Linked DNA regions of Neodiprion lecontei. The protein of the gene in region 1 binds, or shares a complex with, the protein of each later gene. Links are inferred from orthologs where the notes say so. Each region holds a gene or a part of one and is shown on either strand. Other genes may lie near its edges.

Region 1 (8,077 bases):
TATAATAAATAATTGGTTTTCGATAAAACAGCGAGAATGAAGAGCAGAGCATTGATGTTCATGGACTGAGATTGGGTGATAAAATTATTATTCCGTTGAATATAATATTAATAATTCCGCTCTTCGTGTATTAAATAGAGGTACAACAGAAAGCTCTAGCCCAAAAGAGAACGGAATGGCAACACTTGAGGATAAAATTTTGGGTGAAAAATTACAATATTACTGCAGTAGTTCAAGTGAAGACGAGGGGCAAGACTCAGCGGATTCTGAAGATGAACAAAAGTCGCAGAAACCGTGCGACGCGACAGCGTCAAGGTCTGAGCAACTGCCTGAGTGTGCAAAGTGGGACGGAACTTCAAGCAACACAGGGCCGAAAGGGGTCTTAGGCGACTGGCAGCGGTTTAAACAAATAGAGGCAGAGAAGAAAGTCGAACAGGAGAAGGAGAGGATCGAGCTGCTGAAGAAGTTGAGTTTGACTTGCAGGAGTGCTCTTGACGAGGAAAAAGATAATCTTGAGGAAACCGATCCAGAGTTGGCAGATTTGATGAACGACGAATTTTTACTCAATTATCAGAAGCAAAAAATGATGGAAATGCTCACTCGGGCTGAAAAATTAAGATTTGGCCGGTTATTCAACTTGGTAACTGCTGATCAATTTCTGGAGGCCATCGACAACGAACATGAATCTGTTACCATCGTTATTCATATTTATGAACCTGACATAGAAGGATGTGAGACTATGAATGGCTGTTTACTTTCACTGGCCATCGAATATCCCAGCGTTAAATTTTGCAAAATTCAAGGTGAGATGGTGAAAGAATTCCAAACTTCTATAAAAGAACATTGCAGTTGCTAATGCTGAATTATTTTTAGGCTCCGCCGCAGGCTTAAGTAGGCACTTCAAAAAGGAGGGAGTTCCAGCACTGCTTGTTTATAAAAACAAACAAGTCATAGGTAATTTTGTTCGTGTCACAGATCACCTTGGAGTTGACTTTTATTCCTCTGATGTTGAACATTTTTTAATCGAGCATGGAATGATAAGTGACAGAAACTGTATTCCATCAATTGTTTCTACTAAGAGAAATGCAGATTCTGACAGCGACTAGAAAAATGAACGAAATAGAGACTGGAGATTATATGTGGTAAAAATGTATTTAATATTTATAGTAACTATACTTATATGAACTATGTAACAATAAACCTGAAGCTCCTGTATATTTTATCTATGCTGTTCGTAAGTATGACGATTGGTTTTCTCGTCATTTACATAGAGTGAATTATCTGTAAATGAATGGTTCTTTGATCCAATGGCATTGACTGAAAAGTTGGTAAAGATGTTGCATAGATTTGGTTTTCTGAAAACTAAACTTTTCCAATCATAACATAACTAGTAATAAATTGCTCTTTTTGCAACCAACTGATTTGCATAAATTTTGCCATTGAAATTATACGTGTATCAGTAATGCAAAAATTTTAATTGACACGAAAGAATACAAAATCGGACTCTCGTGAATAGCGGAAAATTAGGCAACGCAATGAACCCAATGAATAAAAAAGGTGGAAGATGTTCTTGGGAATTTTCAGTGTTGACAAGCATTGGTTGGCAGCAGGTTTTGCAACTCGCATTGAGAAGGGTTTTAGAAAGCTTTGGAACGCACAACTCATTTCAAACTGTCTAAAGTCCCAACGCACACCTTTGGATAAATCCAAAATTAGGCTCGAGACTATCGCGAAAATGTTTCTAGACGCACAGTTAGTAGATTGAGTTACCAAATACCGATTAAGCATTGAAATGCATTGGACAATTCATTCAATCACTTGTTTCAGATAAACCAGGGAAGAGTCATAATTTAAGAATAAATTAACTAATTGTACGGCATTCTCAACTTTTGTAAATGCTTACTGTTGCGCCACGGAGTAATGGCGCTTTTCATTGGCTACACTTGCGGATGCGCACTGATTACGGTTCTTCTAGTATCTCGTTTCAACTATTGGTTGAAAACAGTGGAATCTCACTCAGTGCGCGCACCGGCAGTCGGCACGCTCGATTGTAATTTTTTGATCCGCAGGTCTTTCCGAAACATAACCTATTGCACGATGAACGTTATTTGATATTTAAAGATAATCTGATTTCACTCTGGTTTGGATGTTGTGAAATTAATAAATATATAAAAATGATACCGACAACCCGACGTATATCGGAATCCCTACTTCGAAGAAGTGGGATCCTGTGCACCACTTTACAAGACAGGTAGAGTATAATATCTCTATTATATACTTTTATATTGTAATAAGGTAATCGACACACATTATTCATATTTATTCACTTATTATAACCTATGGTCAATTTTGTATTCCTATATCCTACAAATATTTTATTGTAACAGGTGTAAGTGTGAGGTGAGTTTAATCAACAACAGGTAAAGTTTTATAAAAATTATTGAATGTAATAATTTTATGAATTGATTTCTAATACATTACGCGTTATTTTTTATTTTTCAGATATCTTAGAATTGGAGCTTATTTAGCACAACCTTTGCGGGGAAAAAAAGATGACTCGACTACAATCACATCTTTGTTCAAACCAGTTCCCGTCAAGTCGAACCCAGATGATATTAACGTGGGAGTTGAACTTAGTGGGGCTCTCAACAAAGCTGACCTCCTGAAAGTGCTCAATCAATTCTATCAAAGAAAAGAGATCAAGGTGCTCGCCATGGAACACGGATTGGACAGTGAGTACTTAAGGTGCTTCAACTCGTTATTTCAGTTTTCTCAACTTCCCGCTTTGGTATTTTTATAGAAAAAGGAAAGTTTTTATAATTACCCTGAAAATGAAAAGTTGTGTTTTCACTATATTTCTACTATTTAAGGCCTGGAGAATCTTCTCTGATCACTTTCAGGTGGACATCTCGATTTGAGTGTATGATCGTTTTTTGGTGGCAATTACTGAAAGATTAGATTTTATTATTTTGGCCTTAATTGATTCAGTTTTGCTTGACTCAGAACTGACTAGAATTTGAACTTAATTCTTGTGGTATCTCAAAAACGTCTAGATGCAGATGAAACTTGCTTCATGGGTTTAGCTTTATTAATATAAAGCTGATTAGATTTTTACTAAAATCAGTTGAGCCTTTAAAGTTATTTTCAAAATTATAAATCATGTAGTCTGAAATTTTTATCTTCATCGATAGTGGGAGTAGCTGGAAGTTCTGAGATTGATCCTCTCAAGTTGAGTAGATTTCCCTGCTTGTTTCCACCCGTTTTATCGCTGTAAATTACATTCAATAAACATTGTCCTACAAAAGCCAATGTAAATGCTTCTGTTGGTTGTTTCCTCCCTACTTTTGGTTCATTGCTCTTAGTTTTTCTGCATTATTTTGGAGACTGCACACACAAATATGAACGTCTTGCAGGTTACTTACAACATCAAACCTTCATCAGTTTTCGACGCTACTGCTTAGATGCTGAAACCTTGCCGGCAGACTTGCATGTTGTAATAAGCGACATAATGCAAGGAGCCGGGCATGTCGATGACATATTTCCGTACTTTATGCGTCATGCGAAACAGACTTTTCCCCATATTGAATGTATGGATGATCTCAAGAAAATAAGCGATCTACGCACACCTGCTAACTGGTATGAATAAAACAGTGGAAATATTTGCTTCTGTATTTTGAATAGAGCTTCATATTTATAACCAGAAATATGCGCAAATTAAATAACTATCATTTTGCAGGTACCCGTTAGCGAGAGCTAAGACAAGAAAAATTATATTTCATGCTGGACCAACGAATAGTGGTAAAACTTACCACGCGCTACAGAGGTTCATGACTGCAAAAAGTGGATTATATTGTGGGCCGCTGAAGTTGTTGGCTGCAGAAGTGTTCAATAAAAGCAACACTAACGTGAGGATTCAGTAATTCATTAGAACTGTTTTTGAAAATCTTGCAAATGTTCTTCATTGTTTTGAACGTTATCGCAATACTCTGTTTATCCTGCATCTTTTTCCAGGGTACCCCATGCGACTTAATTACCGGAGAAGAGAAAAATTTTGCGAAAGGTGCAGACAACCCTTCAAATCACATATCTTGCACAGTCGAAATGGCCAACACAAACGCTGCATGTAAGGTTATATCCTTTGATTCAATTATTCATTACATATTACGTTTAAGTATAAAAAAAAAAAGGAAACGAATGGAATAAAATTAATTTATTTTAGGTGAGGTTGCCGTCATAGATGAAATCCAATTGATGAAAGATCCAGGTAGAGGCTGGGCATGGACTAGAGCTTTGCTAGGACTGCCAGCCGATGAAATTCACCTTTGCGGAGAAGCTGCTGCGATAGACTTAGTCAGTATATATTTCAAAATTCGTTGAAAAATCAATGAATTTGATGGCCAACGATTCATAAATTTACATGGGTGAGATATGCTGTCCGAATCACTAATGATTGCTATATGTTAGGTCCGCTCCATATGTATCACAACTGGAGAGGATGTTGAGGTACGGAGATATAAACGTCTGACTCCGTTGGAAGTCGAAGAGTCTGCACTGAAATCACTGGACAATGTAGTTGCAGGAGACTGTATAGTTTGCTTTAGTAAAAATGAAATATATTCTGTGTCTCGTAGCATCGAATCTCGTGGTATTGAAGTGGCAGTTATATATGGAAGCCTTCCACCAGGAACAAAACTAGCTCAAGCAGCAAAATTCAATGACATCAATAACCCATGTAAAGTTTTAATTGCTACTGATGCTATCGGGATGGGTTTGAATTTGTTAGTATCGTTCTTTTTTTTTAAATCGTAATTTTTCCAATGATAAAGGCGAACTCAAATAGCATGTGTGGAAAAAAATTTCGATGTTTAATCATTCGCGTTTTTTTACACATATTTCATTTGGCAGGAGTATACGAAGGATAATATTCTACTCTTTGATGAAGCCGACTATCAATGAAAAGGGCGAAAAAGAAATTGACACGATACCTGTGTCCTCTGCTCTGCAAATAGCTGGACGAGCCGGGCGTTATGGTACACAATGGGAGAAAGTAAATCATTTTTAAAAATTCGGTGTTCAATTCTATCACGCTTATTCGACTTCCCGGAGTTGTAGTTGCTTTGTTGTTTCAGGGATATGTAACAACTTTTAGACCAGATGATCTATCCAAGCTGCAACACTTGCTTTCACAAGAACCAGAAGTCCTTACTCAAGCTGGTTTACATCCAACCGCTGATCAAATAGAACTATATGCTTACTACCTGCCTGATTCTACTCTGTCTAATCTAATGGTGATTGTTTCAATACATCATAATATATTTAGGAATCAGCAGATTTGCATCGAGTCCGTAAATTGTACTCTTTTTTCAGACTTACAATTAATTATTAATCGTTCTTTCCTATTGCAGGATATTTTCGTATCGCTATCTATAGTGGACAACTCTTTATACTTCATGTGCAATCTAGACGATTTCAAATTTCTTGCTGATATAATTCAGCACATCCCGCTACCATTGCGCGCACGATACGTATTTTGTTGTGCGCCGATAAATAGGAAAATACCATTTGTGTGCACAATGTTCTTGAAAGTAAGCTGATCATGCTCAACCAATCTATTCTAATAATATCACATATTCTACTACATTAGTCACGCTCAAAAAGTTCAATTGAAACTGATTAACAACATTTAAGTCAGAAAGATTCCAAATTGTGTATCTGTAATTTCTGATCAAGTACAAACGGGCTGTACTGTCTAAATTGAATGCTAGGACAAGTCAACAAAAATCATTTAGAAAATCTCCAGCAGCTTTATGTGCGGCAATGACGGTGAATACGAATGAAATAACATCTCTACTGTGTACTATAAATGAATATGACCATGTTCGAATAAGAAAAGCTAAGATATCAACCATCAGACAAAAAGATTTATAATCAGAACGCTCAAGATGTTCAAACTTTGGTATTTTCGAATTGATTCTTATTCTTTGAGCTTACTGTGTTTGCCATAGAGCTTTGAGGGTACATTGAAAAAAAAAATTCATAAACAGTTGTGCTTATAGTGGATAATGTTTGTGCAGCACAGCACAATAGATGTTTCTCAACAATTATATTTGCACGTTGTAATTATACTATAATATAAGATTCAGTGAATGTTTTTAACAATTTGTGGAGGTCTAGTCAGCGAGCAAAATGAGCCCAAAAATATTAAAATCGGCTAAAAAACACAACAGTTTAGGAATTTCCAATGTTCTGATTATAAAACCTTTTCTCAAATTGTTAATACTTTATCTTAGTGATACGAATTTACTGAAAATCATTTTTATCTCATATTAGGGATATTGTTGTGATCGTGTTCGCTATCATTGGCACAAAGAAAAACACCGTTGAAGATTGGAGCAATTTTTTTTTCTTTCCGAACCTTTAATTTAGACTATATGGTTCATTCATTCTTTAATTCAATTGGGATCCAAAATTTTGCCTCGGTCTTAGTTAAAAAAGAAAAAAATTATGCAAATATCAATGGGCAGTAAACTTTGTCCAAATGAGTTTTTTTCTTTATACGAAGTCGTCAAATAATAAAATATACGTAAAAAAAGAACAATAATATCAAATACGACACGGTTAACATTGCGCAATTTTTCTGCTACTGGATAGCGTCTAAATATTTTGGATCCCAATAAATATTGTTTGCCTAAAAAAATACGTATTTGAACATAATTTTGATATTTGATTTTGTATAGTTCGCTCGACAATACAGTAAAAATGAAACGTTGACGTTTGACTGGCTTTGTCAAAACATCGGTTGGCCAGTCGCCGCACCAAGAACAATCATAGATTTGGTTCATTTAGAAGCAGTATTTGATGTCTTAGATCTCTACCTTTGGTTCAGGTGAGAAATTATTTTGAGTTCAGCCATTAGAATTAGATAGGTATTACAAATTCAGTTGAATTCAAAAATGCCTAAGCATCAGATTCACGGTATTTGTTTTCTTATTTGCTGCTAGTTATCGATTCATGGACCTCTTGCCTGATGGAGATATTGTGCGAGATACTCAGAAGGAGTTGGATGCAGTTATACAAGAAGGCATAGTTCAACTAACACAGCTTTTAAAGACCTCAGAGTCAGGTTTGTTGAAGACATTACATATTAAAATTTCTGGTAAATTGTGCCATGCCATGTTCCAACATTATCAAATCATTTTCAGGTTCAAACAATGGTGCTGTGTTAGCTCCTGACGAAGATCACTTTGCACTGAACACCCAGAAGAACAAATACTTCAGAGGTTATTTTATTTGTTACAATGTACATTATTTTTTGTTAACTGGCCTGTTGATAACCTTGCTTCCATTATTTTCAACCTATAGATTCTAGAAGTGTCACAGCCAAGACTTTGGGACAAGGTAAATTAACAGAAAGATTACTGGCACAAGGACTTCTTACTCCAAGCATGTTGAACGAATTGCGGAGAGAATGGAATCAGGTATGAACAGTGTTCATTGAAGCTCGCCAATAGAAAAACTTGATGCTAACAATGTCAAATTCAGTTATAGTTTTGAAATGATCTCGCAAGAACTTAGACCTAACAAATTGTATTTATCAGTTCCTAAAGATATCTGTTCCGTCCAAATAATTTCAGCCAAATACTTTTTAGTAACATTTGTCCAAAAAAAGTTAGTCAAATCAGTATTTGCAGTTGTTAAAATTCAAATTTCTTTTTTTTTTTTAATTTAACCAACATTTTTGTCATTCCTTAGTTTTATTTTTTGTATAGTTTACCGATGACAATGAATCAAGTCGTCCAAAAAAAACCGGACGGAAACGTAAACTGAAATGAAGTGTTCCTGTTCATTGCCGAAATTTCTCCACAATTCAAGAGCCAATCGTAAGTACAATGAATAAGAATTTGTAGTGTAAATGATGGTACGAAAGATTTCTGTTTCATTTTTGTACAATGTATGGCAGTAAACTACTACGTATGTGTAAATTAAAGTAATCATTAATTCACAAAGAACATTTTCTTTTCAGTGATTTTAATGAAAGAATTAAAATTGATTAAGAATTTATAATTTTATGCGACAT
Region 2 (4,843 bases), on another chromosome or scaffold:
GTAATGGAAAATAGAGATTACTAAAAACAAATGTATTGTTTTTTAATAACACCGGCCCAATTAAATTTTAAAAGGCTTATGGCTGAATAAACTTCAGATTTGGGTTTAGCGGACCAAAATGCATAAAAATCATACTTGGTCTATAGTTCCATAAATTTTTTTCTTACCAAAAATGCTAATTTTTGGCGATTTTTATGGTTTTTTTGCAATTTACTCAAAATTTTGAGGGTGTACGGGCAAAACTGACTTCAGATTCGGATTCAGCGCGTCAAAATACATAAAGATAGGTAGGTCCGGTCAAAAGTACAGGCCACTTTTTTTCTGTGGGCCGGTGTTATTAAAAAACAATACATTTGCGTTTAGTAATCTCTATTTTCCATTACTGTCAAAACTTTTCCATATCAAAAAAGAGGCGCCAAAAACGCGGAACAAATCGATTCGCTCTCGGAATTTTATTGTTTCAATTATTTGTTCTCTTCCGGGTTACCCCCACTACAAAAAAGGTGGGTTCAGTAAAAAAAAAAGCAAAAGGAAAGAAGGAAAAAATCGACCGGCTCTCGAAATTTTCTTTCTTTGATTTGTTTTTTCTCTCCGAAAATACAAAAAAAAAAGCCGGGATTGAATTTAAAAATAAAAAAAAAAAAAGAGTGAACTGCGATCGAACCCGTGTCCCGCATCACTCCATCCTCATGTTTTTTTTTTTTTTTTTGAGGAGGAAACCATATTTATTTAGATGAACAATAAATGCTCAATATTTACAATATTGCACTTGTAATTATCTTAGTTTATGTAACTCCGGCTTAAATTTTAAGCTCGATCTAACATTTTGTTTTACATTAAGTGGTTAACTTATTTTTTAGTGTTTTGTTTAAGACTTGAATGCAGTATTATAGCAAAGGCAGTAGTAATTAACTTAAATACAGGAAAACTTCGCGCAAAAACCTGTGATTGAAAATTCATCCTCATGTGGTATCCACTCAGCCACACCACAGCTACGTCCGTGATCGCGCGTTTGCTCGGTATGTTTATGGAGCTTGCTTGGAATTCGCTGATGGTTCTCTGGAAGATTCAGTTCGAGAAAAAAAAAATTTCCTCCAACCACTTGCCCATTGCACATTTTGCATAAATGTTATCGAGCTGGCTTCGTATATTTTTCCATAGACAGCGCGTACAAATATTCGAGAACACCAGGCGTCACATATTTTCATATCAATAAAAAAATAATATTTATTAAAAAAAAAGAAGTATTCGGGCTGGGAATGGTTAATTATTTTGGTTCAGCGTCCGCTAATTGAATCCAAAATTTATCAAATCTGGAGATACTTTTATTCGCTGACATTCATAATTGAAACAAAAAAATCCCAATTCTTGCATTCCTGGAAACATTAGTGCGAGCGGGGACAAGGATGCGATTGGCAACCGCTTGCTCGAGCGACCGAGTATATCTATATATGCACGATTGTGGGCCACCTTCGGTGCATGGCCGCCTAGGTGTCAGGTCGGAAATGGGCCACCTTCGGTGCGTGGCCGCCTAGGTGTCACGTCGACGCTCCAACCTAGCTGGTATCACGAAAAGCCGAGCGTTGGAGATCTCCCTACTCATCTCTGTCCATACTCTTGCCTCTAGTCTCTATGCGTGATATCTCCTCTAGTGATACCAGAGATGAGTAGGGAGATCTCCAACGCTCGGCTTTTCGTGATACCAGCTAAGTTGGAGCGTCGACGTGACACCTAGGCGGCCACGCACCGAAGGTGGCCCATTTCCGACCTGACATCAAGCGGCCATGCACCGAAGGTGGCCCACAATCGTGTATATATAGATACACTCGGCTGCTCGAGCAAGTGGTTGCCAATCGCATCCTTGTCCCCGCTCGCACAGATGTTTCCAGGAATGCAAGAATTGGGATTTTTTTTGTTTCAGTTATGAATGTCAGCGAATAAAAGTATCTCCAGATTTGATAAATCTTGGAATCAATTAGCGGACGCTGAACCAAATTAGTTAACTATTCCCAGTCCGAATACTTTTTTTTTTTTTTTTAATACATATTATTTTTTTATTGATATGAAAATATGTGACGCCTGGTATTCTCGAATATTTGTGCACGCAGTCTATGGAAAAATATACGAAGCCAGCTCGATAACATTTATGCAAAATGTGCAATGGGCAAGTGGTTGGGGGAAATTTTTTTTTTTTCTCGAACTGAATCTTCCAGAGAAGCATCAGCGAATTCCAAGCAAGCTCCATAAACATACCGAGCAAACGCGCGCTCACGGACGTAGCTGTGGTGTGGCTGAGTGGATACCACATGAGGATGAATTTTCAATCACAGGTTTTTGCGCGAAGTTTTCCTGTATTTAAGTTAATTACTGCTGCCTTTGCTATAATACTGTATTCAAGTCTTAAACAAAACACTAAAAAATAAGTTAACCACTTAATGTAAAACAAAATGTTAGATTGAGCTTAAAATTTAAGCCGGAGTTACATAAGCTAAGATAATTACAAGTGCAACATTGTAAATATTGTACATTTATTGTTCATCTAAATAAATATGGTTTCTTTCTCAAAAAAAAAAAAAAAAAAAAAAAAAATGAGGATGGAGTGATGCGGGACACGGGTTCGATCGCAGTTCACTCTTTTTTTTTTTTTTTTTTTTAAATTCAATCCCGGCTTTTGTTTTTGTATTTTCGGAGAGAAAAAACAAATGAAAGAAAGAAAATTTCCAGAGCCGGTCGATTTTTTCCTTCTTTCCTTTTGCTTTTTGTTTTACTGAACCCACCCTTTTTGTAGTGGGGGTAATCCAGAAGAGAACAAATAATTGAAACAATAAAATTCCGAGTGTGAATCGATTTATTCCCCGTTTTTGGCGCCTCTTTTTTAATAAGGAAAAGTTTTGACAGTAATGAAAAATAGAGATTACTAAAAACAAATGTATTGTTTTTTAATAACACCGGTCCACAAAAATAAAAAAAAAGAGGTCTGTACTTTTGACCGGACCTACCTATCTTTATGTATTTTGACGCACTGAATCCGAATCTGAAGTCAGTTTTGCCCGTACACCCTCAAAATTTTGAGTAAATTGCAAAAAACCATAAAAATAGCCAAAAATTAGCAGTTTTGGTAAGAAAAAAATTTATGGAAGTATAGACCAAGTATGATTTTTATGCATTTTGGTCCGCTAAACCCAAATCTGAAGTTTATTCAACCATAAGCCTTTTAAAATTTAATTGGGCCGGTGTTATTAAAAAACAATACATTTGTTTTTAGTAATCTCTATTTTCCATTACTGTCAAAACTTTTCCTTATTAAAAAAAAAACGCCCATTTTATATCAGTCTTGACGAGCATTTCTTAAGAATTTTGAGAGATGCGAGATCGGAACGACAAAATTATTTCAGTAGCAACAATGTATGGACCCCTCTCCTTTTCTGATATTGGCAGCCAGTTAAGAGGCTTCACAGTGTTCAGTTTAATGCCAGCAGCTCTCGAGGTATCAAGATGGTAAGTGAATTACATAATTATTTTACATGCATGCAAAAACCGGCAGGTTTGACGCTCGTCTATTTACTTTATAGATTAAAAAGAGAAAAAAAGGGAAGGACCTGTAGTCGTATTTTATACTTTATTTAATTTTCCTTGAATTGTCAAACTTTTTTATTTTTAATTGTATAGGAAGAAAATGTGTGGGGAATTCCATTCTAGTGCCCAAGAATGTAGTACACATTTTCGATCGTTTTAACTTTTTTTTTTTTTGGGAAAACATGTTCCTCAATTTCCAAATTTCCTTAATTTTTTGGTATTCAAATCGATTCTTAACAATTTTGCGCACAGGTGGGATTTCTTTAATTATTTTTTCCCTAAACCTGAGGATATTTCCTATCTGAGATCACTGTCAATAGGCGAGATTCCGGAAATCATTAATTACCTTTTTTTCTAATTAAAAAGAAAATCACATAAGGCCACTAAGAGCTCGAAATGAAAATCTGAAAAAATTAGAGATGGTTTTTTGTATTCGAAGCCATTAACGTAAAAAATCCGTTTAACGACCATCCCAATAGATATACATTGTATGTTGGGCATTCCACGTCAAATTTGCAACCCATGTACCTCACCCTCTTCGCTTTTGATAATTGTTTGGTATGATGTTGCAACCACGGTTTCAATCGACTTAAAACAGTGTCGGAATTTTTTTTGCAGATTTCTTTAGCCACCACTGAAATAGAAAAAAATTGAAAAACCAATTCCGAAAACGCTTCTTTCAAAATTCTGAAAAAATTCACACTGATTTTATAATTAAAAATATGATTCTTAAGCACGACACGATAAAGGGATCTCTACATTTACTATAGTTTTCGCAAGTTTTTAGTTTTCTTGGATCTTTGAATAACTTGAAAAAAAAGAATGAAATGGTATGAACTATATTCAGGCCTTCTGGCATTCCTCTAGATTTCAGAAAAATTGAAATCCATTAATAATAGAGAAATTTATGACCGAATAAATAAATAGAAACTCCAATTCCGGCATGAGAAAAAAAACTTGCTAGAAAAGTAGTAGATGTTGAGATCACGTTATCGTGTCGTACTTACAAATAATATTCTTAATTATAAAATTAGTTTGAATTTCTTCAGAATTTTAAAAGAAGCTTTTTCAGAATTGGTTTTACAATTTTTTTCTATTTCAGTGGTGGCTAAAGAAATCTGCAAAAAAAATTCCGACACTGTTTTAAGTCGATTGAAACCGTGGTTGCAACATCATACCAAACAATTATCAAAAGCGAAGAGGGTGAGGTACATGGGTTGCAAATTTGACGTGGAATGCCCAACATACAATGTATATCTATTGGGAT

What was found.
Region 2: ATP-dependent RNA helicase SUV3 homolog, mitochondrial (region 1) and polyribonucleotide nucleotidyltransferase 1, mitochondrial share a complex: the UniProt entries of both Homo sapiens proteins name them as parts of the mitochondrial degradosome (mtEXO) complex. The link is inferred for Neodiprion lecontei from reciprocal best matches to the Homo sapiens genes SUPV3L1 and PNPT1.

What each region holds. Positions count from the first base shown.
Region 1 is NC_060261.1:12,082,950-12,091,026, forward strand, and holds the start of ATP-dependent RNA helicase SUV3 homolog, mitochondrial, read left to right. Parts: upstream 1-1,964; 5' UTR 1,965-2,174; coding exon 2,175-2,251; intron 2,252-2,387; coding exon 2,388-2,420; intron 2,421-2,502; coding exon 2,503-2,732; intron 2,733-3,413; coding exon 3,414-3,636; intron 3,637-3,736; coding exon 3,737-3,905; intron 3,906-4,011; coding exon 4,012-4,123; intron 4,124-4,219; coding exon 4,220-4,350; intron 4,351-4,464; coding exon 4,465-4,778; intron 4,779-4,905; coding exon 4,906-5,047; intron 5,048-5,129; coding exon 5,130-5,288; intron 5,289-5,405; coding exon 5,406-5,585; intron 5,586-6,737; coding exon 6,738-6,886; intron 6,887-7,001; coding exon 7,002-7,123; intron 7,124-7,202; coding exon 7,203-7,280; intron 7,281-7,362; coding exon 7,363-7,478; intron 7,479-7,769; coding exon 7,770-7,832; 3' UTR 7,833-7,880; exon of another isoform or gene 7,881-8,017; intron 8,018-8,023; 3' UTR 8,024-8,077. Other genes in the region: phosducin-like protein, read left to right, coding at 176-803, 874-1,106. UniProt on the Homo sapiens protein: Major helicase player in mitochondrial RNA metabolism. Component of the mitochondrial degradosome (mtEXO) complex, that degrades 3' overhang double-stranded RNA with a 3'-to-5' directionality in an ATP-dependent manner.
Region 2 is NC_060264.1:16,918,963-16,923,805, reverse strand, and holds the start of polyribonucleotide nucleotidyltransferase 1, mitochondrial, read left to right. Parts: upstream 1-1,573; 5' UTR 1,574-1,651; intron 1,652-4,843. UniProt on the Homo sapiens protein: RNA-binding protein implicated in numerous RNA metabolic processes. Catalyzes the phosphorolysis of single-stranded polyribonucleotides processively in the 3'-to-5' direction. Mitochondrial intermembrane factor with RNA-processing exoribonulease activity.